Linked DNA regions of Struthio camelus. The protein of the gene in region 2 interacts with the protein of the main gene of each other region in a pairwise test. Links are inferred from orthologs where the notes say so. Each region holds a gene or a part of one and is shown on either strand. Other genes may lie near its edges. The genes, in order: BHLHE40, TLE5, SDCBP and LMO4.

Evidence for each region.
Region 1: the proteins of TLE5 (region 2) and BHLHE40 interact in binary tests that used the Homo sapiens proteins (3 or more experiments, as listed by UniProt). The two-hybrid records come from large-scale screens. The link is inferred for Struthio camelus from reciprocal best matches to the Homo sapiens genes TLE5 and BHLHE40.
Region 3: the proteins of TLE5 (region 2) and SDCBP interact in binary tests that used the Homo sapiens proteins (3 or more experiments, as listed by UniProt). The two-hybrid records come from large-scale screens. The link is inferred for Struthio camelus from reciprocal best matches to the Homo sapiens genes TLE5 and SDCBP.
Region 4: the proteins of TLE5 (region 2) and LMO4 interact in binary tests that used the Homo sapiens proteins (3 or more experiments, as listed by UniProt). The two-hybrid records come from large-scale screens. The link is inferred for Struthio camelus from reciprocal best matches to the Homo sapiens genes TLE5 and LMO4.

What each region holds. Positions count from the first base shown.
Region 1 is NC_090955.1:2,511,282-2,519,201, forward strand, and holds the start of BHLHE40 (class E basic helix-loop-helix protein 40), read right to left. Parts: upstream 3,010-7,920; 5' UTR 2,927-3,009; coding exon 2,844-2,926; intron 2,746-2,843; coding exon 2,676-2,745; intron 2,419-2,675; coding exon 2,311-2,418; intron 1,733-2,310; coding exon 1,609-1,732; intron 544-1,608; coding exon 1-543. UniProt on the Homo sapiens protein: Transcriptional repressor involved in the regulation of the circadian rhythm by negatively regulating the activity of the clock genes and clock-controlled genes.
Region 2 is NC_090967.1:7,814,062-7,821,531, reverse strand, and holds the start of TLE5 (TLE family member 5), read left to right. Parts: upstream 1-4,464; 5' UTR 4,465-4,566; coding exon 4,567-4,593; intron 4,594-6,187; coding exon 6,188-6,285; intron 6,286-7,470. UniProt on the Homo sapiens protein: Transcriptional corepressor. Acts as a dominant repressor towards other family members. Inhibits NF-kappa-B-regulated gene expression. May be required for the initiation and maintenance of the differentiated state.
Region 3 is NC_090943.1:135,811,710-135,819,002, forward strand, and holds the start of SDCBP (syntenin-1), read right to left. Parts: upstream 3,008-7,293; 5' UTR 2,869-3,007; intron 2,190-2,868; exon of another isoform or gene 2,167-2,189; intron 1-2,166. UniProt on the Homo sapiens protein: Multifunctional adapter protein involved in diverse array of functions including trafficking of transmembrane proteins, neuro and immunomodulation, exosome biogenesis, and tumorigenesis.
Region 4 is NC_090949.1:20,631,980-20,639,128, reverse strand, and holds the start of LMO4 (LIM domain transcription factor LMO4), read left to right. Parts: upstream 1-4,132; 5' UTR 4,133-4,266; exon of another isoform or gene 4,267-4,440; intron 4,441-6,392; 5' UTR 6,393-6,395; coding exon 6,396-6,631; intron 6,632-7,149. UniProt on the Homo sapiens protein: Transcription cofactor. Plays a role in establishing motor neuron identity, in concert with MNX1, acting, at least in part, to disrupt LDB1-LHX3 complexes thereby negatively modulating interneuron genes in motor neurons.

The DNA.
Region 1 (7,920 bases), on a different chromosome or scaffold from region 2:
CAGAGCCCATCACGTCACTGCTAAAAGGGCCTTCGTCTTCGGAAGTTTCCATCCTGGTCCTTTTGGCTGGTGGGTCCTCAGTCTCTTGCTTAATAGAGCTTATTCTCTCCTGGACAGTATATTTGAGTTCCGTATCCTTTTTAAAATACTGCTGCTCGGATTTGGAGTCACTTTTCTCCAGCTCTCCCCCATAGCCGCTGTCTGTGTCGGTGTCGCTGCCGCTCTGCTCGCCGCTGGAAGGAGCGAATGTCCTCTGTATCACCGGCACGCAGTTTTTGCCATGTCCCTCGGCCGCTCTGGTCAAGGAGCCAGACTTCTCCTTCGAGTCCACTGTTTTCGGAGGGATGTCTGCGGCTTTTCGGCCGGCTCCGCCCTGGAGCACCTCGGAGGCCATTCGGTGCAGATGGCCGACCAGCTGAGAAGACTTCAGGTCCTTGCCGTTCTCGTGCTTTGCCAGGTATTGCAGCATCTCCTTGGCGCACATCTGGAAACCGGATCGAAACATTTCCTGGCTGGAATCGAGGTTTCTTGATGACAGGTCACCTGAGGAAACGTTAGCAGAAAGAAATTAAAAATTAACAACGTGCTAAATAGGTCCATTCCCATCTTCGAGGCACCCTGGAGAGAAGGGCTTCACCTCCGCTGCTACAAAACAGCTGAACAGGCGAACCTGAGGGTCAAACCGTGTTTTACACGCGCTCCCCTGATTTCTGTACAGGCATACGTTGTTTCTTCTTACATCCACCCGTCCACTTTTGGATGTGAATTTCAAATTTGTTTTTTATTTCTAGGTCTCCTGTACGTGGCAACTGTAACACGGGTGCAGGTATGGAGAAACAGCAGTGAATCAACCTGGTACCTCCGCAGGGAAGAAGCGGTTTGAAAGCCAGTTTGCAACCCGCTTCCTTCCCACCAGGAAGGGAGCGCTTGCAGCAAGCTCACCCTCCTTCAGCTCCAGGAACCGAGGGCCGTTTTGCTTCAGCTATAGGACCTTGGCTTAAAGCTCGATCGCACACCCCGTGGCTATTAAAGCAGTGGAAATCTCTTTAGAACAGCTAAATTTTACTTTATCAGATTCACGTGAGTGCCACGTGTGAAAACAGGAGAAGGAAGTACATTTAAAGCACAATAAGCCGCTAGACCTGGCCCCCTCTTAGCCGACAGCAACACGGGCTGATCAGTTTAGAAAGAAGCCTAAAAAAAAAAAAAAAAGGTGTGTGCAAAAAAAGGCAGATGCTTTCATATTTTTGAGGAGGGAAAAAAAAAAACGGATTTGGTCCAAAGCTCCTAAACACCAATAGAAAGGCTCGGATGCCTTCGGAGAGAACCTTAAGCAAAACCGAGCTTTAAATAAAACTAGTAACGTTCAAATGAATTTTAAAACAAAACTCTCAGCGCGCTCTGAACTGACCGAACTAAGAAACGAAAAGCGTCTTTCTCCTGAGGACTCATGAGCAGAGTGAGGGAAGAGGAAGGCGATTAAAAGAAAGAACTCCTTCCTCCTCCTCCCTGCCCTGGGACCAAGTGCCACCAGGGCACGGCGCGGGCTGGGAAAGAGAGTCCAGGGCGCGCAGGCAGGTTCTCGCTCGCTGGGCTTTGAACACTCACCGGCTTGTAAGCCGTTCTGCAGGGCAATTATCTTCTGCTGCTGCTGCTCAATGAGGTTGGTCAGCGCCTTCACGTGCTTCAAGGTAAGCTCCAGAACCACCGCCTTCTCCAGGTGCCCCAGAGTCTGCAAGCCAAAGGGACGGGTCGGCGCCGGCCGCCTCCGACCGCGGGGAGCCCAAAAGGGCTTCCAGCGTTTTCAGAGCGACGGGCAGGGGCGGACGGCGCCGGGAGGCAAGGCTGGCGGGGCAGCGCCGTCGCCCGGGGCGGGGAGGGGGGGGCCCTGCTTCGCCCGAAAACCTATCTTTCTCGAACCTGCAAATAAACGAACTCGAAAGCAGGCCGCAGAAAAGGCTACCGTCGTGTCTCACGGTTATTTTCGGACCGACCGCATAGCTCACAGAGAAGTATTTTATTGATCTGTTCTGCTGCCCCTGCTGGTATCGTGACCTTAGCGCAGGGGAAGGCAGCCCGGAGCGGGCCCGAGAGCCGAGGGGAGCCCGGCTCTCCTCCGGGACCGCCAACAAAGCCAGCGGCGCCCGGGGTCGCGGAGGCGGGTGAACCCCCCCCCAGCCTTTCCGTGGGGTGGCAAGGGAAAACCCGCTCAGAGAGAGCGCCAAGGCCTGGGGGACCCCTGGGAGGGCGGTGGTGGCAGAGCCCTGGCGGGGGGACGGGGCGGCGGGGCGCCCCCCCCCCCCCACTTACGGTGAGTTTGAGATGCTCGGGCAGGAGGTCCTTCAGCTGGGCGATGCACTCGTTGATGCGGTCGCGCCTCTTCTTCTCGATGAGCCTGTGCGGCAGCTTGTAGGTCTCCTGGGGGGGAGGCAGAGGGGGCTGGGGCGGGGGCAGCGCGCCGCCGAGAGACCCCGCCGCCAGGCCAGGGGGCTTCGGCAGCATTTTTGGGGGGTGGGGGGGGGGTGCGGCAGGGTGGCTACAAGCGGGGCGCAAGGGCGCGGGGCAGGCAGCGCCCCCGGGGCGCGCAGAAAGTTTTCGGGCAAACCGCTGCCGAAAATCGGGAAAGGACGAGCTGCGCCCCCCCAAACCCCGGTCGGGGTCCCCCCCCCCTTCACCTTACTGTCGTCGCTCCTCTTCAGCCCCCTCCGCGGCTTGTACACTTGGTACATGTGGGCGAAGTCCAGCCTGCACGAGCGGAGGGAAAAGCGGGCGGGTTAGAGCGGCGCAGGGCGCAGCGCGGCGCAGCCCCCCGCGCAGCGCGGCGCAGCCCCCCCGGCGCTCACCCCGGCCCGTCGGTGCCCTCCAGGGCGGGCAGCTTGCCCAGGCACAGCGGCGGCGGCGGCGGGGCGCCGGGCAGCCGCTCCATGGCTGCGCGGGGCTGCGCGGGGCTGCGCGCTCAGGCGGCGGCGCGGCGGCGGCTCATGGCGCGCGGGCTGCGCGCGGCTGAGCGCGGCGGGGCGCGGCGGGCTGGGTTAAGTGCGGGCGGGCGGCGGCGGGCGCGGCCCGGGCGCTGCGGGCGGCGGCGGTGGCGGCGGCGGGGCCGCCTCTCTCCCCCCCCCCCCCTTTCCTTCCCTCCCTCCCTCCGGTCACATGAGTCTCACGTGGCGGCTCGTCTCCCCCCCCCCCCCTTTCTCCGCTCCGCGCCGCCCCGCGCAACGTGACGGCGGCGCCGCGTGGGAACGCGCCGCGCTGGGGAGCGCAGCCGCCGCCCGCCGTGCCCGGGGGCGGCCCCGCTCCGCCGGCCTCCGAGCTGCGCACGGGCGGCCCCGCGCTGCAGCCTGCGCCCTCTCCCTGCAGCCCGCGCTGCAGCCCGCGCGTTGTCCCTGCAGCCTGCGCTGCGCGCTGTCCCTGCGCGCTGCCCTGGACCCTGCCCCTGCACGCCACCCTGGGCACTGTCCCTGCACGCCGCACCACATGTGATCCCTGCGTGCTGCCCTGCACGCTGTCCCTGCACGCTGCCCTGGGCACTCTCCTTGCACAGCACACCATACACTGTCCCTGCCTGCTGCCCTGGGCACTACGCCTGCACGCCGCACCACATGTGATCTCTGCACGCTGCCCTGCACCCTGCACTGCTCACTGTCCCCGCATGCTGCCCCGCACGCTGTCCTTGCATGCTGCCTTGGGCACTGTCCCTGCACTCCACAGCACATGTGATCCCTGCACGCTGCCCTGCACAGCACACCACGCACTATGCCTGTGCGCTGCCCTGCCCTGCACGCTGCCCTGCACGCTGTCCCTGCACACTGTCCCTGCACGTCACCCTGCGCGCTGCCCTGCACGCTGTCCCTGCGCGCTGTCCCTGCACACTGCCCTGCACGCTGTCCCTTCACACTGTCCCTGCACGTCGCCCTGCACGCTGCCCTGCACGCTGCCCCTGCACTGTCCCTGCATGCCGCCCTGCATGTCGCCCTGCACGCTGTCCCTGCACGCTGCCCTGCACGCTGCCCTGCACGCTGTCCCTGCGCGCTGCCCTGCACGCTGTCCCTGCACGCTGTCCCTGCGCGCTGTCCCTGCACGCTGTCCCTGCACGCTGCCCCTGCGCGCTGTCCCTGCACGCTGTCCCTGCACGCTGTCCCTGCACGCTGTCCCTGCACGTCGCCCTGCGTGCTGCCCTGCATGCTGCCCTGCACGCTGTCCCTGCACACTGTCCCTGCACGCTGCCCTGCACGCTGTCCCTGCACGTCGCCCTGCACGCTGCCCTTCACACTGTCCCTGCACGTCGCCCTGCGCGCTGCCCTGCACGCTGTCCCTGCACACTGTCCCTGCACGCTGCCCTGCGCGCTGCCCTGCACGCTGCCCCTGCACGCTGCCCTGCACGCTGTCCCTGCACACTGTCCCTGCACGCTGCCCTGCACGTTGTCCCTGCACGCTGCCCTGCACGCTGTCCCTGCACACTGTCCCTGCACGCTGCCCTGCACGCTGTCCCTGTGCGCTGCCCCTGCACGCTGTCCCTGCACGCTGTCCCTGCGTGCTGCCCTGCACGCTGCCCTGCACGCTGTCCCTGCACGCTGTCCCTGCGTGCTGCCCTGCACGCTGCCCTGCACGCTGCCCTGCACGCTGCCCCTGCACGCTGTCCCTGCACGCTGCCCCTGCACGCTGTCCCTGCACGCTGTCCCTGCGTGCTGCCCTGCACGCTGCCCCTGCACGCTGCCCTGCACACTGTCCCTGCACGCTGCCCCTGCACACCGCCCTGCACGCTGTCCCTGCACACTGTCCCTGCACGCTGCCCTGCACGCTGTCCCTGCACGCTGTCCCTGCACGTCGCCCTGCACACTGTCCCTGCACGCTGCCCCTGCACGCTGCCCCTGCACGCTGCCCTGCACACCGCCCTGGGCACTATCCCTGCGTGCCGCACCGCATGCGATCTCTGCGTGCTGCCCTGCTCGTTATCCCTCCGCGCTACAGGAGCGCGGCCTCCACCTTGCGCCTGTGCCTTGGGCGCAGGGTGTGCAGGTGAACGTTTTATCGGCACAGCTGCGGTGTTAAAGGCTGCTCTTTCATACCAATATCCGTATACAGATTAAGGAAAAACAACAACAACAACAAAGAAACACATAAGCTGATACCCATATTAAACGCAGCCTCTGAACTAGGGAAACCCAGGGCGAAGCGACTGGGAGTCCAGGCCTGCTAGGGAACGGTTAGAGGGAGGTGCTATTTCTTGCCCGTCTCAGACGCTTCGGAGGTTTCAGTCTCCGGCGGAGCAGCCGGGATCCTTGGATGCCAGCTGCTGGCAGACGCCGCGTAGGACTGCGGCGGTGCGTGCCCGCCGGAGCGTGCCTTTCCTCCGGAAGGGTGCTGGTCATTTACCCTGCTGCGTGCGGAACAAGTAGAGGCAAGTTCACCCGATAAAAGGCGCATTTACCTAGAGAAGGCAACGGGAGCGGAGGGCAGAGCCGTCGCTGCCTCCCCGGGGGGTTCTGCACGCTCCCTGCAGGGAGGAACCTGCGGGCCGCAGGGATCACGTTGGGGCCTAAAGAGGTCTTACGCGAGAGACGGGGGCACCCGCTTTAAGGCACACCGTCGTTTGAGGATGCGTGTTATTACCAGGAGAAATCCTAGGAGAAATCAGAGCCCTGCAGCAATCTGCTAGCCTTGACTATAAGCTCTGTAAAAAAAAACAAAAAGCCAAACAATTCCTTACAAGAGCCAAGTGCATCTCCAGCACAAACGATACACCACTGCATTAACGACCCAGAGCTTCCGAAAAAAAAGATGCTTAGGTTGTGCCGGGCAATAGGCCTGTCCCAGTCAGTATGGTCTTCTCTGTATTTTGCGGCCCAGGTCTGCAAACGTGACATTTATCAGCAGGGCCAGCTCAGGCGCTTTGAGGGTCTGCCGTGATGCTGCAGACCCTGCCCACGAGCGAGACGATTCCAGCTCATCGGAGAGGACGTAGGTGTTGACAATTAAGCATCGCGCGTACACAGGGGTAGGATCAGACCTCCGGCCTGTAAACTTCTCAAAGCAGAGATTGTCGTTCATGCGGGTGCTTAATAAATTTGGTAATCATCGCCACAAAAATGAAAGCGATGTCTTTGTCCTTGCAGATGAGGTGAAAGCGAACAGAACCGGCATAAATAACGGGGAGTGAATCAGATGGTTAACTCTCTTTTTGCTCTGAAGATCTCAGGTGTGATCTGCCAAACAAAGGGGGAGAATCACATACGCTTTTCAGTCTGTGCCATCACTGACCCTCTGTCTAAGGCAACAGACATAATTAGAGCTTGCTGCAGCTGATTGCTAATGAAAAATGAGGTTTGGGGCCAACCTGCTCTGCATTTTAAGTTTAAACTCAGAGTGTACGTGGACAATTTCATGCCCATGAATTGTTTGACTCTTGCATGCTCTTTCAGATATTCGGTACATTCCTGCAGTGGGTGGTGAGCTACAAATCAGGGTCAGAGGTAATCCCCAATTATTTAGCCCTTTTACTGTTCTCGTGCTTGCCAAACAATTCTCCATATCAGGATTTACTCATGACCTTAAGGGAAGTTGCCAAGGATTTAGGAGTCCCCCTAAAAAGAGGATCCAAATGAAGTTATTACATTCTTGGGCATCAAGTTAGATTGCTGGAGAGTTGAATTACATTTTCCTGAGGATCAGTTTTCATAAGCTAAGGCTGATGCAATCATCAGTTTGCCATCTCGATTTTTTTTTTGTTGTTGTTGTTGCTGATTTATTTCTGCGTGGAAGGTTCTTTTACAACGTATGATTGAGGCAACAGCAAAACGTTTAAAAAGGCTTAATTTTCTAAAGCCATTAAGGGAGAAACTGGCCTTTCGAGCGCTCGTTTCAGAACGGCCGAGTGTCACAGGATAGCAGCAGCTTGCGTCCAACAGGGATTTGTAGTTATTTACAGATACGTTAAAAGGCAAGGGTTTGCAGTTTGTTTTTGAAGGTGTGCTGAAGGCTGGCGAAAGGGATTGAGTCCCTGGACGTGTTTCTTCCTGAGGGCTTGTCCCCTTCCAGCCACGAGGGTGGCAATTTGGGGTGAAACGTTCTGAAAATCACTGGCGCTGATGTCTGATCGGAGCCTATGTGGGCAGCGCTGGGAGTTAACAGATGGGTTGTGGATTCAAGCTTACGATAAGGTTACTGAGGGTGGTTTTGTTTTAAAATGTCTCTTACTTAATATATCCATGAAGGCCAGGCATGTGCCTGTGGCCTGTAATCAAATAGCTGACTCTCCTTCTCTCTCATTTCCAGCAATCTCGTGTCAGGTTACTGGCACCGGAGGTTAAAGAACAGCCATGTCTTGGACCACAAGCCAAGGTTGGAAGCTAAGGTTATGCCGAGCAGGAGGAGCTGCATGGAAGTGGTTAGCCCTCCGCATCTGACGGGCGTCCTCCAAGGGCTTTCTAGTTAACACCCATTACTTTCTGCAGAAGTAGAAGTTCACGGGGGAGCCAAGCAGTCTGTAAGGCAGCCGCGTGGAGCAGCTAGGTATAGCCTTCTACCAACCTTTACTCAGCAGATGTGGCAGGTCTTTCCCAAGACGGGCAGATCTCCAGCCCGTGGGAGGAGCGCTGAAGCCAGGCAATATTGCATCCTTCACCAAACGCTCGCCGTTTTACCGGGGCCTGGGCTGGGCGGTCGTTAGACTTCTTGCTCAGCGTAGCAATTTTTGAGCCAGGTTTCAGGAGCGCTCAAGATCAGCAGCTTACTGAAGGCCCTAGGCATATCATTTCTCAGCCTTATTGGTAAAGGCAAGCCCATGAGAACCCGCGCTCACCAGCCTGGCGGAGGATCCCCAAATCCTTCGCACGGGGTATGAGGAAGAGTTTGTCATCCAGCAGGGCTCTGCCTTGTTCTTCTGGTAGCCTGCAGGTAATTGCAAAAGCTTGAATTTAACGT
Region 2 (7,470 bases):
GGAAGGAGCCCACCGCACGCAAAGCGCAGCTGAGGGGCTGAACGCATCTCCGCCAGGTCCTGCCGCACCGCTGTGCCATGAGCCGGGCCGGGGGACCCTGCTGCCCCAGGCCCCAGTCCTGCCAAGCCCTCCTGTACGTGGCAGCTTTCAGTGTTGGGGGCCAAGAGCGGTCCTGACGGGTCCTCCACTCAGGGCCTGCATTGCTGCTGCGCCTTTTTTTCTCTCCTTCTTTAATTCCAGGTAACTTATAAGGTATTTTCAAGGTAAGAGAAGGACCTTAGGGCCACGCTTCCTTTGCAGTGACAGCATGACTTTCACCTCGCATCCAGCACATCTGAGAAGCAAGTCTCTCTGCAGCATCTCTCCTTGAACCACGGCTGGAGCGGGATATCATATCTGAATAATTTACAAAGGCTCTTCATTAAACGGATTTATTTTCAGCAGCTTGGTTAGGCTGTTCCCTTCAGGAGCGACGGGGAAGTTGCTCAGCCTGGTTTGGACGTTGTCGCGCAATCGCTCCTGCCGGCCACGCCGGGAACAGCGCAGGGCCCAGGGGGCCCGGCCGGACCCCACTGCTGGCCGAGGGGGGCGGTGTGGGAGGGACCGGCCCCGCAGCCTCCCGGCACTGCCGTCCCCGCAGCAGACAAAAACACCGGGGAGCTGCTGCCGGCTCCCGGAGCGCCCTGGAAAACCTCCGCTCCCGGAGCCCGGGCTGCCGTGGGCTCTGGGAATCCCCCGGCGAGGGCCTGCTTTTGGGCTGCTCGGGGCCAGGCTTTCCCGGGGCCGAGTCCACCCCTGCCGACGTGCGGACCCATCGCTTGGGTGAGATTATAATTCCCCCCTTTGAGATGCAGATTCCTCAGCCTGCTGGTAACGGAGCCTATTAAAATGTCACTTACGAGGCACAAGCAGGTTTGTGTTCCCCTGGATTGAGATTTGCCAAGATTATGCCATAAATTAGCGTGTTTCCTGGAAGAAAGCAAGGAGAGAAAAAACATAAAGTGGAACATTTTGTAGCCAACATAAAAGCCCATAAAGGAACGTTTCATTTTCCTCTTGGAAGGGAGCAACTGCAAGCAGCTCTGAACCCGCCCGGGGTGGACGGGCAGCGGGGCTGCGTGATGGGGACGCAGGGTGGCGGGTCCCGTGGGGACGGCGTGGCTCGGGGGTGCGGGGTGCCCGGTCCCGTCACCCGTCCCCCCCCACGGTCACGGCCCCCGGCCCTTGCCCAGGGCTGGGTCGGAGCCGCTGCCGGGTGCAGGCAGCATCGCAGGGGCAGCGCTGCCATGCTGGAGCAAAGCTTCGCGCTGACGGCCCAGCACCGTGGAAGAGTTCTTCTGCCTCATCTTTTGGGAAGTTTAATCTGCTCTTATAATGATTATTGTTGCTCGTGGAAGTTCGTAAACTGCAGGAGGAGCCTGGTCCCATTTCCATCAAGGACAAACACCTCGCGGCGCTGGCAGCACCATCCCTGGGGAAACATCTGCTCTTTCAGGTTGTTTTGTGGCAGCTTTGCTGCTTTATCTCAGCTGGAAAAAATTCCACTCCTGTTGAAAAAGGAACTGTAAGGTCTGCAGGAGCACTTGCCGCACAGGAAGGAGCAGGGGAGAGGCAAGACGAGGGCTGCGGCTCGCAGCTGGGGGGTGCGTGCGTAGCCCAGGCTGGTCGGGCAGGACAGTGGCCCGGGAGGCCTCACCCTGCCGTGCGTCTCCGCCTGCATCGCTACCAAACCTGCAGCGTCCCGGGGGCGAAAGTGGAGGGAGCAGCCACCTGCGACACGGCACGGCACGGTGCGACACAGCACGGCACGGTGTGACACGGCACGGCACGGTGCGACACGGCACAGCACGGTGTGACACGGCACGGCACGGCACGGTGTGACACGGCACGGCACGGCACGGTGCGACACAGCACGGCACGGTGTGACACGGCACGGCACGGCACGGTGTGACACGGCACGGCACGGTGCGACACGGCACGGCACAGTGTGACACGGCACGGCACGGTGCAACACGGCACGGCACGGCACAGTGCAACGGCACACAGCACGGTGTGGCCCGACACGGCACAGCACCATCCCTCAGCGCCTCCCACGGGCAAACAGTCTGCCAAACGGGAAAAACAGCCCTGCCTCGCAGTGAGGGGCCACCTCCTCCTGCGCGCACGCTCGATGGGTGGCACGGGGTAGCCGACGTCACGGCCCAGGCCTCGGCCCGCCGCGGCGATAGAAGAGGTCTGCTCTTCCGAACTTGCAGCCCACGGGAGCAGCAAGGAGGGCCTGCGCCAAAGGGGGTTTATTAAAGGGAGCAAGTTAGAACAAGATGGGAGCCGCGCCGCCCCGGCTGCCGACGCGCGGTTTGGACCACGGCGCTTGCACGCTGCACGGCCTCTTGGCGCTTAACTTACTCGCCGACGCGGTAGCTATAAAACAGCCGAGGGGAAGCAGGGCTCCGTCGAGGGGCCGCCGCGGCCCCGGCCGAGCCCCCGCGCGGCGCCCCGGCTTCGCAGGGGGCCGGGACCCCCGCTTCGCCGCCCCCGGGCTGCGGAGGCGCCGGGCCCGCCTGCGCCGCTGACAGTCCTCGGCGCGGAGCTGTCACCGCTGCCTCCAGCACGGAGACGGCGAAGGAAAAAAGCCACCGCGCCGCACGCAGGAGGTGTCACAATAACTCGGCTGCTATATTGTTCTCTTTAAAAATAAACACCGCCACAGCCCAGCCCGCGTCGCTGGAGTCATGACGTCCGGGCTTTTATTTTTAATCAGAAAGCGTGCTGATTTTTAAAGCTAGAGGCAGAGCAGCCTCTGAAGGTGGCGAGAGCTCCCCGCGCGCTCCGGCACACGAGCTCCCTCCTGCCCGCGGCCGCCGGTGGGTCCCGGCCCCGGTCCCGGCCCCGGCGCGCCGAGCAGGACGGAGCCGGGGGAACCGCCGGCAGCACCCGCGGCGGCGCCGGCTCGGCCGTGAAGCCTCGGCACGCGGCGAGCTCGGCCGGACCGGAGCCCTCGGAGCGCTCGCGCCGGCGGGCTGCACCCTGGCCGGCCCCGGCAGGAGGCACGGCCGAAAGAAAGCAAAAGGAAAACCCTGCGCAAACAAGCCCTGCTCTCCCACTCGGAGGGCGCGAACGCGGGCCAGGCGCGATGGTGCCGCCCCAGGCCCGCGGCTGGGACCGGCGCGAAGCCGAGGCGGCTGCAGGGCCTCCTCCCTCCGGCGCCCGTTTCCCCGCGCGACCGGGGAGCCGCGAGAACCGGCGCTGCTGCGCGGGCTGGGGCCCTTCCGGCCCAGGCGCTGCAGGAGGCGGGAAGTTTTGGTGCGCAGCAAAAGCTGGCGCTGCCCCGAGCACCCACACCGGCTGGCGGGACCCCAGCCCTGGCGGGACCCCCAGCTCCAGGGGACCCCAGTGCCAGCGGGACCCCCAGCTCCAGGGGACCCCAGTGCCAGTGGGACCCCCACCCCAGCAGGACCCCCAGCCCCAGTGGACCCCCAACTCCAGGGGACCCCAGCCCCAGTGGGACCCCAGCCCTGGAGGAGACCCCAGCCCCAGCGGGACCCCAGCCCCAGCAGGACCCCCAGCCCCAGGGGACCCCCAGCTCCAGGGGACCCCAGTGCCAGTGGGACCCCCACCCCAGCAGGACCCCCACCCCAGCAGGACCCCCAGCCCCAGGGGACCCCCAGCTCCAGGGGACCCCAGCCCCAGTGGGACCCCCACCCCAGCAGGACCCCCAGCCCCAGTGGACCCCCAGCTCCAGGGGACCCCAGCCCCAGCGGGACCCCAGCCCCAGCAGGACCCCCAGCCCCAGTGGACCCCCAGCTCCAGGGGACCCCAGTGCCAGCGGGACCCCCACCCCAGCAGGACCCCCAGCCCCAGCGGGACCCCCAGCCCCAGGGGATCCCAGCCCCGGGGCAGAGCCGGGCACCGCCAGCGGCCTCCGCGGGGCCTGGAGCTCGGGGCCGCCAAGGCCGGCGCCGCTCCCACGTGCCCTGCTCGGGGCTCGGGGCTGCCGGGGCCGGGGCTGAGGCCGGGGCCGGGCAGGGCAGGGCCGGGGCCGGGGCCGGGGCTGAGGCCGGGGCCGGGGCTCGGGGCTGCTGGGGCTCGGGCTGGGGCTTGGGGCTGCCAGGGCCGGGCAGGGCCGGGGCCGGGGCTCGGGGCTGCAGGGGCGGGGGCCGCCGGGGCCGGGGCCGGGGCCGGGGCTCGGGGCTGCTGGGGCCGGCGCGGCGGGGGCGGGCGCGGCGGGGGCGGGGGCGGCTCTGGGCCCGCCCGGCCCGGGGAGGCGGCGGCGGCGGCAGGTGGTGCCGAGCAGCCGCAGGACGGAGCCGGAGCCGGAGCCGGAGCCGGAGCAGCAGCCGCCATTAGACAATAGGCGCCGGCGGCGGGAGCGGCGCGGGCGAGCGGGCGGCCGGGGCGGGGCGGCCGCGGGGGCGGGGCGGCCGGGCCCGGCGCGGACAAAGGCGGCGGCGGCGGCCCAGGCCCAGGGCGCCGCGGCGGCGGCGGCAGCGGGCGGGCGGGCGGCGGCGGCGGCGGCGGCGGCAGCAGCAGCGGGCCGCTCCGTGCGGGGCCGAGCCGCAGCCTGACATGATGTTTCCACAAAGCCGGCACTCGGTACGGCGGGGCCGGGCCCGGCCGGGGGGTCTGGGGGGTCTGGGGGCGGCGCAGGGCCCGTGAAGGACGGCGGGGGGCCGGGGGTGGTGGGGGGGCTGGGGGCCGAGGGGCAGAGCTGTTGTGAGGGGGGGCTGGGGGTCCGGGGGGTGCTGGGGTCCGGGGGGGGCAGAGCTGCTGGGGGGTGCTGGGGTCCGGGGGGGGCAGAGCTGCCGGGGGGTGCTGGGGGTCCGGGGGGTGCTGGGGGTCCGGGGGGTGCTGGGGTCTGGGGGGTGCTGGGGTCCGGGGGGGGCAGAGCTGCTGGGGGGTGCTGGGGGTCCGGGGGTGCTGGGGTCCGGGGGGGGGCAGAGCTGCTGGGGGGTGCTGGGGGTCCGGGGGGTGCTGGGGGTCCGGGGGGTGCTGGGGGTCCGGGGGGGCAGAGCTGTTGTGAGGGGTGCTGGAGGTCCGGGGGGTGCTGGGGTCCGGGGGGTGCTGGGGTCCGGGGGGTGCTGGGGTCCGGGGGGTGCTGGGGGTCCGGGGGGGCAGAGCTGCCGGGGGGTGCTGGAGGTCCGGGGGGTGCTGGGGTCCGGGGGGGGGCAGAGCTGCTGGGGGGTGCTGGGGGTCCGGGGGGGCAGAGCTGCCGGGGGGGGGGGGGGCTGGGGGTCCGAGGGGACGGTGGAGCCCCGAGGGCGGTTCTGGCGAGCCGGGGCGCGGGCCAGGGCGCCCCGGGGGTGACGCGCGCCGTGTCCCAGCGGCTGCCTCTGCGCCTCCATGTTCTGGCGGAGCGGCTGCAGCGCTCCCGGCCCCGGCATCCCGCGCTCGCTCGGGGGCTCTTGCTGCAACGTCTCTCCCCCCCGCGGTGCTGGCAGGAGCCCTCGTTGCCTCCCGATCTGACTGGCTGACTGCCTCCTCGCCGCAGCGAGGAGCGAGCGGGAGGCTTTGCGGGGGGTCTCCTCCCCCTTCCCGAGCCCTGGCCCCCCATCCCTCCGCCAGGGCGTTCCGCACAGTCCTGGCTCCCGTTCGCGCGTGGGGTGTTTGTTGTTTGCAGAGATGCCCTGGTTACTGTCTCTGTGCAGTTGTTAAGGAAGGCGGCGGGTGGCTTTGTGGTTAGAGCCCTGGGACTTGTTCCCAGCTGAGGGAGAGGACAGCTTGGGGGGATGAGATGCGAGCAAGAGATGTGGGTCCCAGCCCCAGGAGGAGCTTCCTCCCGCTTCCGTTTCCCTGTCTGTAGTGCAAGGTGACTGTGGAGATAAAACCTGGAAAAGGGACCCTGGCCAAACTTCTGCGTCCGAGTTCCCACAGGTGACCTTGGGCATGTCCCCCTGGCCTGACCATGCTGTTTCCCCAGGAGGGCCCTTGGGGGTGTCACCTCCTTCTCTGTCTCCTCGTGGCAGCTTCCGTCCTGCTTTTAAAATGATCTGTGCTCCTGGTTAGATGTACCGCTGAAAAAGCAAATCTGTGCTTTAGTGTCTGTGGGATGCGTGGTGGGATCAGGCCAGCACAGGCACCTCTAGGTAGCTGAGAAGGAAACTGTGCTCGTGGGAAGGAGCATGTGTTGGCTTCCCTTCCCACCCCTGCATTTGCTCAGTGCCCAGCGCTCTTTCATGTGTTGTTCAAGGGCTCCTCTCACCTGCCACAACAGCTGAAGTTCACAACCTCTGACTCCTGCGACCGGATCAAAGATGAGTTCCAGCTCCTGCAGGCCCAGTATCACAGGTGGGTGCTCCTGTGTGTCACAGGTCCCAGTGTCCTCCACACTTTTGTCTTGGGACAGGGAACTCTGAGCATTGCTCTCCATAGAGCTAAGAACCATTAGAAGCGCCCACGGGTGCCTGTACCCTGGGTAGTGCCGTCCTGGGCGCTGGTTGGTGGGATATACCCTGCAGGAACTTGATGACCTGTGTCAGGTCATCAAGGACCCCCCTCCCCTCACCTTCTGGGGGGACTTTCTCCACAAGAGAGGAGGAGCTTGCTGCGCCCATCCTGGGCTCCCCAGGGACAACTGCACTGAGTGCTCAGCAGATTTACTGCTGGGCTGACAAGCAGTGGCAAGACGTAGAAGAATCACTTTGATTCTTCTGCTCCATTGCCTTGCAGTGTGGACCGAACTGGAACACTAAGGGAGGGACTTGATCGTACAGCTCGGGTCATGTTTGTCTAAAATGGGACCTCAGGGAAGGGATTAATCATGTCCGCTTAGGAGCCTAGAGAGGAGAATGTTCAATCTTCCCTCTCCAGCCAAGGACTTCCCTCTGTGTGTTGCTCAGCCAGGACTGCACAGAGGCTTGCCAGGCCTCCCATGTCTTGCTGGGAGTTTCTCCTCGGTTCTTCTCGCTGGCTGCCATTCTTGGATTACAAATGCTGCAGGGAGCACTTAAATCCAAATGCTTCCGCTTTTGTGCATGTGAGAGTGGAAATACTTCTGCTGACCTGAAAGTTGGCTTGTGATGGTTTGTTGCTTTTTGTGTGTGTGTTTATTTAAGAAACACAAAACTCTGAGCTTAAATCAACTCAGTGATGCCCTCTGTCATGGTCTAGCAGGCCTCTAGACCTGGTTGTAGCATGTGCCTCTGTGGCCACGGTGCTATGGCAGTTTGTGTAGCCCTGCTGTGCCTTTATGTACCTTTCACCTTGGCCTGGGCTCTGCCAGACAACTGGGTCATAGGTTTGTAGTCATGTCATTCTGGCAGAAGGCAATCAGAGTAACAGCTTAGAAATGGCTATTTCCTGGATTCCCTCCGCCTCTGAGCAGTGCCAGTGATGGAACAGGAAGCCTCAAGAAATATGTCCACTGGAAGGGAGGCTTTCCCCCCCGCCACCGCACTTGGACGTAATCTGCTAGAAGAGAAACAGGTTTTGTGTAGGTGAAGCTGTTTCTTGTTTGAAACATAAAACCACAGC
Region 3 (7,293 bases), on a different chromosome or scaffold from region 2:
TTTTTGGTTTTGTTTTTTTTTTTTTTTTAATTCTGTTTTAAGCCAGCGTTGACATGAAACGGTCACTTGTTTTGACTCATCCAAAACAGATAACAGCAAGTGCAAGCCCAAGTCCAATGAAACCGTCACTCGGGTAAGCAGTCCTCCAGACTTGGCATTCTGCTGCCGCTATCTCTAAAACCATCCACAACACCAGACACACAATTACTTCTAAGCTACATCTGTGCTAGCAAATTTAAACTACAGGTTCAAGCACTGACACAGTCTTTCAAAATTAGCATAGTCCCTGGCACTGCGAAGGCTTGCTCCCCACGGATGGCAAAGTCACCCTGCTTTAGGGTGATGAGGGAAGGGAAGGGAAAGAGTTCTGCTCAGAGTGAGCTAACGACTTCATATGCTAGGCAGAGAACAGCACAAGGTCTGTTGAGTTGTGGTCCCAGTTTCCACAATCTAGTTACATCTCCTCCTCCATCAGCTTTAATTTTTCCTCCACGTGCCACTTTCACTCCACACTGCGATTCCTGGTCATGTTTGTCACAGAGGGCCATATCTTTTTCTAATTTACCAAGAGGAGCGTGGTACTTCCTGTAGGAGAGCACTACCAAAGCTAAACCTGCATTTGTTCTCTGATCATTTAAGAAAATATTCCAGGAGTTTATCCTGCTGTTTTACAGTCATATAGGCCACCTTGTCTCCTCTGCTGGAAGTTCGCAAAATACAAGCATTCGTCAACATTACTGAGGAGCTGCTCTTAGCTTCCTGGCTATAATCTTAATGGTTACTATAAGTGAGTTTCTAAATAAATAGCTAGAATAACTGTCACCACTGTAATTACATTTAGTGAGTATGTATCTTTGTTGCTTTTATGTCAAAAAGGAGTATTTTCCATTTCTGCACCAGCAGTTTTAACACTTAACTTCCTTTAGCTAATTACAGGTCACATACGTATTTAAGACGACAAAAAACAGTGTATTTAGTTTAGAATGTAACCATTTGATAGCCATTTTCACCATAAGAGACCACCAGTAATCTTGGGAACAATCTGTCTATGACTTGTACCTCATGTTATCCACAGTATAAATAAGAGTTTAAACAGACCCTGAAACAGCCTTAGACAGAAGCTAGCAAAGGGAGCTACCACAAAAAAGGAGTCATTAGCTTCCTTTCCTCTCAAAAATCTACAGTTATTTGCCTTGATCTATAGAATCATTTGCTTTGATCATTCATACACTCCTAAATCTTGTAAAGAACACACGTAGTAACCTAGAAAGCGTAGAAAAGCAGAAGTGAAAACAGAAAAGAGTGGAGCAGAAAGGATGGAGTCTTAATTCAGCTAGCAATCCCACAAAACTCTTCCGCAAAGCCTTCTCCACTTTTCTGTGCATCTTTGGCTTGGAAATGCTGCTACGCAGCAGTAAGCACTTCTGACTAAGTAGGTCTTATTTACTAAAGGAGAGTAACCAATCACCGGCCTGAGGAACCCATGGAAATACAGCACTCGTGATATCCTTACGCTATCAGCAGGAAGTTTTAGAGGCAGAAGTAATCTCTAACACAACAAAGTGGCATAGCTGGAAGCAGACAGGCTTTCAGACGCATTTTCCAGGTCTGAAATGACAAAGCTAAATGCAGTTTAAGAACCGAACTTTGAGGCTGACCAGCATGTAGCAACTGCCATCTCTGAAAGGAGCAGCAGCCAGCAGGACTTGGGGGAAAGGGGGGGGGGGGGGCCCACGGGGAGAAGGAGGCATTTTATGTGTTTTATGACTATGGTATATGGAGAAATTACTGCAGGCTGTAAAACTGGTACCTCTATTAAGCACTGGCTTTGACTTCCAGAATAGCTAGAAACCAATGAACTATAAATTCATCTTTAAAGGAGAGACAGGACAAAACAGCCTGAAGGTCAGGCAGAGTACATCAGGAATAGGGCAGATTGTCTTGCAAGACATGTTCTCCACGAACAACCGAGGTTTGTTTGTTTTTCCCCCCCTTCTGATACATGTCTGATTAGCTTTAGAGCAGTGGCTCTCATTTTGCACTTAGCCCCAAAATCTGCTGCCTCCACTTCCAACCCGAAGAAAGGCTCCCCAGAAAGACATCCATTCCACCCCCAAAACAATACTAAATCGGTCTAAAAAGAAGGCGTTACAAGCACCTACAAACCTTCCCACGAACGCACTGGAGCTAGCGGAGAGAGAAAGGTCTTACAAGGAGCCTGAACGAGGAGCCAGAAACCACCCCCCAAAAACGAGCCTGGCTCGTAACAAAGAATCAAAACCACCCCTGGAGCCTGATTCACAGGCCGCCCGAAGCCAGAGCGGGCCAGCACACACGCAGCCGGTTCGCTCTTGGCTTTCAGCGCCGGCAGGACGAGCGGGGGCGCTTCTAACGCGGCGGCGGCGCAGCAACAGGCGGCGGCGGCTCCCTCCGAGCCGGGCCGCGGCGGAGGCCGCCCCGGCCGCGGCGCGACATGGCGGTGCGGCGGCGCCCCGCCGCTGAGGTGGCGAGGGGAGGGGAGAGGGGAAGGGACGCGCCGCTTCCACAGGCGGAAAAACGAAATCGCTTCTCGGCTCTCGGCAGAGCCGACTCTCCCCGGCGGCGCCGGTGGTCCGAGGCGGCCGCGCTGCCCCCCGCCCAGCCCCTCCACGGCGTCGCCATGGTGCCGGCGGCGCCGCTTCGCCTCCGGCGGGAGCCGTTAGCGCTGCTGCCGCCGCCGCCGCGAGCCCCCACCCGCCCCCGCGGCCGGCCGGGCCGAGCCGAGGCGAAACGGCGCCGCCCCGGGCCCCGCACACACAGGGCAACCGGGGTGGGGAGAGGGGGAAGAAGTCCGGTGGCGGTCGCAGGCCGACAGCCCCCTCCTCTTACCTCAACCCAGGCCGTTCGCGGAGGGACCTCAACGCACGGAGGGAGAGCGGCGGCGGTGGCAAGAGCAGCAGATCCCGGCGTCGCCGCTATGAGGGGCGAGGGGGCGGTGGAAAAACTGGGCCGGCACCGCGCATGCTCCGGCGGCGGGAGCCCATGACACGGCGGCAGGGCGGGGCCGGGCGGAGCCCGGGGGCAGCGGGCGGCCGGGCCGGGCCGGGCGGAGCCGGGGGGCAGCGGCCGCTGACGCTGACGCGGGTCAGGGCGGCCGGGTCGCGGCTGGACTGCGGGGCTGCCCCGAGAGACGGGCTCGGGCTGCCGCCTTTCCTATCAATTCCCCCCCCCCCCTTTTTTTTTAAATAAAATGTATTCTATATGCTTTATATCATTACTGATTGTTTGGGGTTAGTCCTTGCTTTTTTTTTTTTTTTTACTTTTTTTCCTCCTCTTTGTATATTTACAGCTTTCAGCGGTGCAGAGGGCCCTGCGCTCTCGTCGCCTCAGGTGCGGCTTAGCACCCTACCTCGGCCTTCTCCGACCGGGAGACAAGGCACGTCTCTTAGGGGAACACCCTAGAGAAATCACGATTTAAAATACACTAGTTACAGGAAAATTCCACTACAAACTAGGAGAGTGGCTCTTATACTTGACTACTGTAGTTATTGCGCTTTTACCTTATTTGTAGCGTTAACTTCTCCAGCATCAATTGGCAGTCTTCTAGATCCTTCTTTGCAAGACTACCTGTGGTCAAAAAGTTTGTTCCGCATGGCGGGAACTATTCTGATCACCCCAGAGTTTCCCCTGGGGTAGGAAACGGCAGGGTTCGGGGAGCTGGTCGGACCGTACGCTGGCCCTGAGGAAGCAGCTCTTGCTCTGGCTTCCAGGCTCTTTCCCCTGTCCTGCAGCTCCCAACTGACCCCGAGCCACTTCCAACCACTGCCCAGTGCTTTTGCAGGGCAGTTCAACTCACTGATGCAGCAGAAATTGAATCCCCGAAAGACGTGAATGTTTTTCCTCTGGGCTAGTGAGCTAAGCTGGCAACGAAAGGATCCCACAAGCTCTGGTGCCAGGGCAGGGGAAGGGAGGGTGTTGCTGGAAACAGGAGAAAAGAGGAGGAAGAGGAAGGAAAGGGAAGGTCCCTCTCTTTTAAACAGCAGCAAGCTGTTACGTCATTTTCCACTGCCTAGGAAATTACAACTGTATTTAAACAGATTTTGTTATAATACATATTTTTCAGCCCTCCTAAGCTTTTTGGATCTCTCCCGTTGTCAGCATCTTTGGTGAGCATCACAGGGCTGCATCGTGTTCTGGCAGCAGTCACAGCAGCGCTGAATTTGGAGATACAGCCTCTGTCCAACCACTCAGAAGGTTTCTGGTTTTATATCGAATTATTAGCCAGGTCTGCCACCTTCCTAAGTACCTTAACCTTTGACTACTGAGTCATGCAACTACAGATCACTAGATATATTTATAAGTGCAATTTCGGGCCTACAGTATGAGTTCACAAAAATTCTGTTAGGTACCTTTTGGGCAGGGAGAGAGAGAGGGAGGGAATCTAGCTCTGGCTTAATAGGGACAGATAATTATTGCTTTTGTAGTGCTAAATTTTCTCTGTAGTCAAAAATGATTTTTAATATAAATGAAAGACTTAAAAGTGTGTATGCTCAGAATGAGAGTGTAGCTTTTCATCCCACGGTGAGCTCGGTGGGGGTGAAGCCCTGTGCCCAGCCTGGGTAGTGGTGGTCATCAAGAGCATGGTAGTGTCCGTAAAGCATGGAAATAGCAGACGTGTGATTGACTGAAGCACTTAACACGACTGTGCATTGTCCACATGGCGCAACCCTGCTGAACATTGGTGCTGACAGCTGAGGGGCAACATCTTATTTCATTTTGACTTCGAATGCCCTTCTTGTTCCAGAGGCACTGCTCCTTTCTCCAGAAAGCTAGGTTTTTATTTGCCTTTTGCTGCATTACTTTATCCCTTGTCATGATCTTTTGAGACATTCACTATCAAGGTAGCAGCATTTGTCTGTAGATGTCAGACCTGCGTTGTCAATGCACATGTCTTGATTTTACCCAAGAGGCTGTAATAGAACATGCTTTTATATATATTTTATGTTTATATGTTTATTTATTTATAATATATATAATATATATTCTATGTAATTTTATATAACATATTATCTATATCTCAAATATATTTATGAATAAATATATATAAGAATAAATATATATAACATTTATATTTTATTTATAATGAGGTTCTAGCCGAAACACTGGACTCCATACAGTCTGTTATTTGTTGGGCTTAGTTTGTGTGCACTATTAAAAACACACAATATAAAAATAAGCAAAGACCGATCACAGGCCAGTAGCTCCGTATGGTAATGGAAGTGAATTTCATTACCTTCATCTCCGAACATATCGTGAAACCCAACTTACTCAAGGTTTTAAAGAAGAATGCTATGAAGATGCAGCCTTGCTTAAGACTACTACAGTCTTGAATAGAGACTACTACAGTTTTGAACTGAGAAAGATTAACCTTGTTATACTGAAAAACATTCTTAAAATCATTGTTCATTTAAATATAGAAATGAAACACAGCAAAACACAAATATAATTATTAGGAAAAGGCTCTGTCTAATCTGTGCAGCGAATGCACCATTTGACATGTGTCAGGGTCTTGATTCTTTGAATGCAGAGACCAAAGGGTCCCACTGTCCAAAAAGTCTGAGTTTCCTTCCCAGGGAAGCTGAGACACGGAAGGGGATGGCATGTTCCTCAATCTCTTTGTGAGGTGAACTCAAAATCTGGGACAAAGAAAACACTTTCGTGCTCCAGAATTAAGACGTTGGCAGCAGAAGGGCGTGGTTGTGCCTTTCTATGAACTCTGTGGCGATTGGGGAGCTCTAAAGAATCGGAGCTAAAACACTTACACAAGCAGCTCTCGATTAGTTCCTGAAGTATTTGCAGAAAGCATTCCAAGATTACCTATTGTTTGAGAGAAGTGGAACAAATGGCAAAGTTATCAGATTTTACTCACTGACATTAGAACACCCATGGGCAATTACGTGGTAATTTTCCAATTGTCAGTATGCTGTTATTTTTTTTACTAGTCGTATGCCAACTTTCAAAAAATAATAGAAACCACCAGATCAGTATCAGTGTTAGCAGCTGCAAAACTCTTAATAAAATAATACATGCTAATCACTCCAAAATTCACATTTCTCCTTTGAAGCTGGAAGTAAATTGTGCTTGTGTTCCTTAGGAAGCTCTCCACCCCTGCAACAATGAGATGTTATAAATGGTCACTCAAAACATGTACAAACTGTGCAAGAGAGCACCCTGGCAGTACTAGGAGTGGAATAACTGTATTAAAGAGGTTCTTTGCCTCTAATTAGAGTGTGTTGGAGTGAGTTAACTGATCCTGCTCTCAGCTGTGTGCAAAGAAAATCCTAACGTACTGTTTGTGTTTCTCGAACAAAGCAGCTCTGAGCCCTTTTAAGTAGCTCCCTGGTGCTGCATTGCACTGGGCACTGAGACACTTCTAGAATTTGTGAAGAATTTTTGGAGTTTGCGCGTAGAAAAAAGAATTCCAGAGCGAAAAAAAACCTGTCATACAGAATAAATTACGTTAAAAGAGCTTCACCCAAGTCAAACATTTAACATTAGAAACTAACAGAATTAAAATTGCCTGAGTCACTTTGTTTCTGACTCCCTGTTCATGCGTCAAAGATCTAGTCTTTTTAATACAGTAGAACATATTATTTCCACTCTCTTCTCATCAGCCCGTGGAATGGATGGTGCTCAGTGAATGTACAATTTTCCAGTGTTCAATTTGCAGTTCCGTACCTGATTTCCTGCCTGCTATTCAAACTCCGCTGTAAAGATGGCAATATTAATGTTGTCACAGTCTTCTGAGTAACACTCCAATGTCTGACTGCTGTGCAAGCAATTATTAATATTTTTTCTACTGTGTTTCCCAAAATATTAACATATTTCCCAAAATATTAATATTATAACAATATTTAATATAAAATATTAAACATATTATTAATATAAACATATTTCCCAAAATATTAATATTAATATTAAGGCATTTAACTTGAATATGCTCTTAATGCATCTTTTCGAGCTTTCAGTTCTACAAACTTTTTGTGAGAATTGTCGAACAGTATTTGTTAAATCAGCACCTTACTGACTTCAATCACAGTTATGATTGAACACTTCTGTGCCGAACACTTCTGCAAATTAGACTCCAGGGCCTCTATGGGGCAACGGAAAAACGAGAAAGCACAGTGGTGGCTTGTGAAGAGTCTGGCTGAAGGACTTGTCATTACGCAGGAACCCTGCGGCAGAGGTGCGAAAAGCATCGGATTCTGCAGACTGGCTTTCCAGCACTTAAGCAACATGACATTCCTCTCTCTT
Region 4 (7,149 bases), on a different chromosome or scaffold from region 2:
TCCTAACTACCTTCCATGGAACTGGATTCTTGTAAATAATGTTACTCATGTGTTTACTAGCAAGTCAAAATTTATACATATTTTTCTAAAAGTGAGTTATCTTGCTGTTTGGGGTGAAAAGTACTGTCTGCTGTTTGAAAAAGAATGCTGAGAGTCAAGCCATGCAGAATTCTTCACAACTTGCAGGGGATGTGCACTTTCCCATATCATTAGATAGCCCACTTGAATACTTAGTCACATTTGTAATTTGTTTAAGATCCTAAAACAGAAGATCTTATGCTAGCAAAAGGGTGTGTTATTTTAAAATAACAAGTGGCTGTTGATTTTTCATCACTGCTTCCAAAGAGACTAGAGGGTTTGCGTTAAAAGTTGAAATGGTTGTTCAAAAGGTAGAGTTTGGAAGACACAGACTAGCAAAGTGCAACATGGAAGCTCTCCCAACACAGTGGCAGCCTCAACATTTCTAACGAGAAAAGGAAAAGACAGTTGAGATCCCATAGGAATGCAGTATTTGGGGAGAGAACTAAGACTCCTTTCACGAATGGAGAGAGAACCCCAGTGAATTCTGGACTATCAGCTATCTTAGTGGCATGTGGAGGTTTAAGAACGATTTGGATCACAAGCTGAAACGTTTTCCAGACCTTCAGATTGCAACTTTCTACTAAGCCAGCAATTTTATGCTTTCCTCTCCCTGACTCCAACAGTACCACAATATAAGCAGCCAGATTTTCTTCTGCATTGTGTTTTTTATCCATTCAGCCAAAATTAACAGTCTTTGAGGATGAAGTATGCCAAGTGAATTTGAATCTTGCGGACTAAAATACACCTAAAGTTGATGGATACATTCGTGCCTACTGCTGAAATCTACCAATTACTCAGAACTACGTTAACTTACCATAGAAACATCTCATCTAATAGCACAGATGATGTTGAACTAACTAATTACATTATGGCACATAGACAATGAAAAACATAACGAAGATGACAGCACAGCAACAGCAGATGCTGCACAAAAGAAAAATTAGAAAAATATTGCTCTGCAAAATGCTCTCAGTTAAGGTTCCCTCTGTTAAAATTAATCACAAAAATTAGTGAAGATTAGATTTCAGAAAAAGATATGAACATTATAATGGTATTTGGAAAATGTCATTAAGCCATTTAAAACTCTGCTCCTTCAGAAGAGGTAATTCCCATTTTTCTTATCACTATCAGTTGCAAGACTAGTAAACATTGTAGTGCCTATGGCGCAGTTTCTTGGTAGAGTATCTCTTCCAATAAGAAGAGCTCCTGAAGGTTCTTCCAGAGCCTGAATTTGGTAGCTTCCAGCCATTATAGCCTTAAATAATTAGACAGCTTAGACTTTGTTTTAGCTTGGCGTTTGCTCTATTCTTGTGCTCTTAGCTGTCAGAGAGCTAGAATAACAGTGATAGTTGATTATCCGTAGCACGTCTTGTTACTTTATATATTTTAAATTGTAACAGATCCTAAATGACAAATCTGAAACTGCTGAATATGTTTAAATGTAATATGTATCTGGAGATTACATCCAGATGACATATTGCATAGACATATGATAAAAAAAAATGCACCACTTACTTTTAACCACAGTGCTGGTCCTCTTCCCCCTTCCCTCGTGGAAGCTTGCCATGCGCTCCCTGTCTACTTTATGTATAGATTCTTCAGATAGCCCTGTCTATGGAGAAAGAAATGGTGTATTCCCCTATATTTAAATCATACCTATAGTGCTACTCAAATTTTAATATTTTATTGGATATATAATAAAAACAGAGTACATCTATGATGTCCTACGTTTTCCCAGGTACATTTTTCCCAGCTGGACATATTTTAAATAAATTTTATCTGGTTACTGGGCACTCTTCTCCTCAGTCCCCTGCAGGCCAGGGATGCAGAAATAAAGGAGACCCACAGGTGGCGCTGTGGTTAAAGTACACCTGGATTTTGATTACAGAGACAAGATTTAGTAGTCGGGCTGTCAGAGGGAAGTTGGTCTGCTTCTTAGTACAAACGCATATATTTGTAAATAAATTTCCCTGGCTAGAATTTCAGATACTTGTGCCGGCACATCGCTTCTACACTAGACTGTAAGAGGAGCAGGTTTAAAATATTTTGTTGCCTTCAGCAATCGAGAGGCAGCGCACCCACACAAACTCGTAATTTAGTGACGCTGCAGCCATAAAACGGGTAGTTGACAACAGCAGTTAACTGCACCAGGCGAGCCGTGCAGCGACCCGTCCCCATTTAGGATGACCCTGTCCCGTCGGGCACGGCCGCGTTAGTCCCTGGGAACACGCTGCAGCCGCCTGCCCCCTCCTGCAGTCACAGTGAAGTCCGACTGTTCTCCCTGCGTTGGCTGCTCCTTACGTCAGCGGTCTGGAATCAAGAAACTAACATCACCAAGTTTTGTGTTGTTTAACGGATCCTGGAAATGTGTAATTTAACTGACTCTTTAGCTGCAGTTAGCTCTGCGAGACCCGCTGGCGCGTGCTGCGCGGCGGAGGCAGGCCTGCGCGCGGTAGCAGGCCGTGCCCGGCGGGGGCCCGTCCTTGCAGCGGTCCGGTCCGGCCCAGCCCGGCGGCCTGCAGGACCTGGCGAGCACCGGCCAACCGCCCTCTCGTTGCAGATACTTCCATTGTTTCCAGCGGGCTAGGGGTTGTTACAGGGTGCTGGGTTTTGCTTATCGTGTGGGCTCTGCTTAGGCCTCAGAAACGTGCGAGTAATATATATATATATCTACATGTTTTTCCACTGTGTCACTACCGAGTATTACTTCTGGTTTGCTATCACGCTTTGGCTTCTTTTCCAGAAATGCAGTTGTCTTTCCGAATGACAAGCAGCGCTGCCAACTGCCAGCCAATTGCAGCGGTTTAACCCTTTTAAATCTTTTATAGGGTACTAATAATAGCGGGGTATATACTGACACTCATTTTTAAGCACAACTCCCCGCTGGTTTCAGCGAGTGGATTTTCAAACGTCAGCGGCTTGACCAGGCCCATTTTACCCGAAACACGAGCTGGACGCTCCCCTCCCTCCCTCCCTCCCTCCCGGCCGGCCGCCTGCCCGTCTCCGAGGCCGGGGCCCGGGCGCGGGCCTGCGCGGGGGCGCGCCTCCGCCACCGGCTCCAGCGGCCACCGCCACCTCCGCCGCCGCCCGGGAGCCGGCCGAGGCACGGGCAGCCGCCACGGCCCCTCGCCTGCAAGTTTCTCAAGTGGTGGCCGGGAGCGGGTCGGGCGGCGGCGAGCGGCGCCCTAACGGCCGCCCAGCAGCGCCCTAACGGCCGCCCAACGGCCGCGGGCGCCGCTCCCCACAGCCCGCCCGGGCGGCGGCGGCGGCCACCGCTTCCCACCTGACTCCCTCCTTCCTCTCCATTCCCCTCCTCCTCTGCCCCCTCCTCCCCACCCTCCGCTCTTTTTTTTTTTCCTCCTCTTTCAGTCATTCCTTTGTCTTCCCCGGGATTGGCAGGTTTTATTATTCCGCCTGAACAAGCCGGGGGCGGATTGGCTGCGGCGGGCTGACGCTGGGAGCCGAGCTGGAGTGTAGTTGGGATTCTGCTCTGTCAGTAACACATGTGTGAGGGGCAGCGGGCAGAGCGAGCGCGGGGCGGCGCGGCGCGCAGGCCCGCACGGACACACTCGCGCACTCACACACACACACACACACACACGCTCACTCACTCACGCACGCACGCACGCACGCGCGCACCGCGGCCTCCTCCTGAGTCCTGCCAGCGCCGCCGCCGCCACAGGATCGCCGGCAGCAGCAGCTCCCGCCCGGCCCCTCTCAAACTCGCCGCTCGCCCTCTCCTCCGGGGCGCGTCGGCGGGCCGCGGCCGGCCGGTTCCTCGCTGCGGGAGGCTCGGGAGCCGCCGGCGCCCAGAGGAGGGGGCGGAGGTGGTGGGGGGGGCGGGGGGGAGGCGATACAAAGTGAAGCCACATTGCCAAACTTACCCGGCGATTGCAGCAGCGAGCGGCGGCGGCGCCCTGCGTGTGCAGCTCGGCGGCGGGGACTGAGCTCTGCAGCTCCCCTCCGGGAAGTGCGAGCTGGAGGAAGGACCCAGGCAGACGCCGCTCGTAGCAGTATCTATATTTTTCCAGCCTGGGCTGCCACTTGCCGGGCTGGGGGCCCCCTCCAGCGCTCCCGGAGCCCGCTGAGAGCGCGAGCGGCGGGTTTGTCTCGTGGCACGGAAACCTCCTGGGTGACCCCGAGCGGCGTTGCTCCCCGGCCTTTTGCAATATAGAGGGGAAGCAGGTAAGGAGTGCTGGCGATTACTGGCGGTATTATCGCAGCGTGCGCGGCCCCGTCCCGCGCTGCGCGGAGCGGCGCGGCGCGGCGTTGCGCGGGGGGAGCCGCGGGCATTGTCGCCGGCCCCGCGTACAAAGCCTGGCGGCGGCTCGGGCTGCTGCCCCTGTCCGCAGCCGCGGAGGGGAGCGGGCTCTGCCGGCCGCGGTTGTGCGCGGAGGGGAAGGGGCGGGGGGAGCGCCGGGCGCCCGCTTCGCCCGTAGTAAACACTGTGCTGAAACAGTGGCAGAAAAGATCAAAGTGAGCTCTCTATTTCTCCCCTCTCCCGTTCCCTTCCTGCCCCCCGCACGGTCTTTTGTTTCAATCCAGGAGAAATCCGGTGAATCACCTAATTAAAACCAAGACGTGAATTAAGCATCCATTTTTGTACTACAAATTGCCAGCTCTCCGCTTGTCCCTCCCTTGGTCTCCATTAAAAAAGCACCAGAGACGCTGTTAAAAGGGGGGGTTATTTTGCCTCTAGCTTCGAGCTCTGCTTTCTATTTCACCGACTCCTATCCCAGGACCTAAATTGCTTGGCTGTGTAATTACTAGAGTAAGCCTATTTAAGTTAAAAGCTTTTTTCCCCCCAACTCTAAATGAAACTTGATGAGGGCCCGTCCTTAGTTATCAAGGGAGTCACTTTCTGGTCAGTCCTCTTGATTCATCTTTTTAGATTTAATCAGCATTAAGGTATTGCTTGTCCTTAAGAGCTTTAGCTTAATGGGGTTACGGGATGGTTTTCTCGGTGTAACGTTTCCCATTTTATATATATTTGCCTTCGACAAAGACGGGGTGATGTGGTAGCATGGAGTCTTTTTCTTTCTTTTAAGAAATCCGGAGTGATTTAAAGCGTAGGGAAACGGTTTAAAGACTCAGAGCAGGAAATGCAGATTCATTTAGGCTGTAGCTGGAAACTGTAACAAAAGGCAATTCCTTGAACAAATGCATCAGAAATCAATTTACATAAAGGTATATGATGCGTTCGGATAAATGCAATGCTAATGGCTTTTAGAGTGGTTTTCTTTCCAAAGTCTCGGGGTTTTTGTTACAGCTTAATTGGTGCAGTTCTGCTGGTTTATTGTGCGGTCACTGGACGTACCTTCAGGAACTCTTTCTGAGGAAATGTGTGTTTAAAATCGGCCTGAGTTCTCGCTCTGCTGGAGCCGAGTTGGGCCGGTGGCAGGAAAGTTCGCCTCGCTGCTCCGGAGGTATCAGCCCGAGCGTCCTCCGCAGCCAGCCGGATGCCTCGGTATGAGCACACACGGCTTACAAAGGACAAAGACAAAACATGCTGCTTAATTGGCAGTAAATAACTTGATCTTTTTATAGTATAAGTGACTGGAGGAACACCAGGAGTTTATTGGACTCTGGATTGAAGGCAACAAATTAATCGGTTTAGAGTAAGCTTTATGAATTGATTCCTATATTATCTCCGAGTTGTCCTGCTTGCATCAAGCATTTATTAGAAAGTGAAAAATGCCCTTACTAGCAGTTTTGGAGGCAGCCAGACTAACTGCAGCCTGAGCGGTGCACTTCATTATCCTGCTGCTTTCCTATGGTCACTAAACTTTTTTTTTTTTTGAGTAACAAAGCTTTAGCGTTTAAATTGCTGATCAAGGGCAGATTAGCGAGACAAAAGTTGAGTATGTTTGTATAGGAAGTTAACAGGCGTCCTAAAGTTCAATGATCTGTTATTCGGGCCAGCGTCCTCGGTCTGGAGTGTTTTCTCTGGGTGTTTTCTGTATCTCAAAAAAAAAAAAAAAAAACCCCAAAACCCCAAACCTCGACGTCTGGACAGCCGGTTCCGAGCCCCTCGTTACCCCGCCTGGAGAGTCTCTCCTAGACTGAAAAACCAGTTTCACAACTTTTTTTTTTTCTTTCCCCCCCCCGCCCCTCACATACTTTTTTTTTTTTTTTTTCTCTGAGCAAAACAAAACCCGGGACTGTTCCTAACTCGCCGAGTGCAGCTGCGGAGGCAGCAGCGCGGAGCGGGGCCGCGCCGCCCCGCGAGGTGCCGAGGCGCGGCGCCCCCCGCCCCGCCGCCGCCGGCCGCCGCCGCCCTGACCCGCCTCCCTCCCGCGCCTCTCCCGCAGGCCATGGTGAACCCCGGCGGCAGCTCGCAGCCGCCCCCGGTGACGGCGGGCTCCCTCTCGTGGAAGAGGTGCGCCGGCTGCGGGGGGAAGATCGCCGACCGCTTCCTGCTCTACGCCATGGACAGCTACTGGCACAGCCGCTGCCTCAAGTGCTCCTGCTGCCAGGCCCAGCTCGGGGACATCGGCACGTCCTGCTACACCAAGAGCGGCATGATCCTCTGCAGAAACGACTACATCAGGTGAGCGCGGGCGGGGGGGGGGGGGCGTCCGGGCAGGCAGCCGGGCAAAGCTTCCCCCCCCCCCCCCCGCCTCGTGGCTTCCGTGGAGGCAGGAGGCAGCCGGGCCAGTGGCGGCGGCGCGGGGCAGCAGCGTGCCCGGGTCCGGGTCGGCCCTGCCCGGGCAGCGGGGGCCGCGCCAGCCCGGGGAGCCCCGTTCGCTCCTCGCCCCGGGCGCAGTTGTGGCTGCCAAGCGGAGGGAAGGAGGGGGGGCAGGCGGAACGACGACTGTAACTTTAAAGTGGTTTGTCAGCACAAAACAAGTCCTAACTAAAAATAAACAGCAATCAGAGAGGCTAAATTAATCTGCTTTGTTGTAGTGTTGAAGGAGAAGCGTGCATATCTGAACGGTAAATGTTAAAATCGTAGGGCTTAAATAAGGCTGTGGCAGAGGTGCTACATAATGAAATGCCTGCCTTTAGTATCTGATTAATTATGATATTTACATAAGCACCTTTAAACTCCTTTGAGTGGAAACAGAA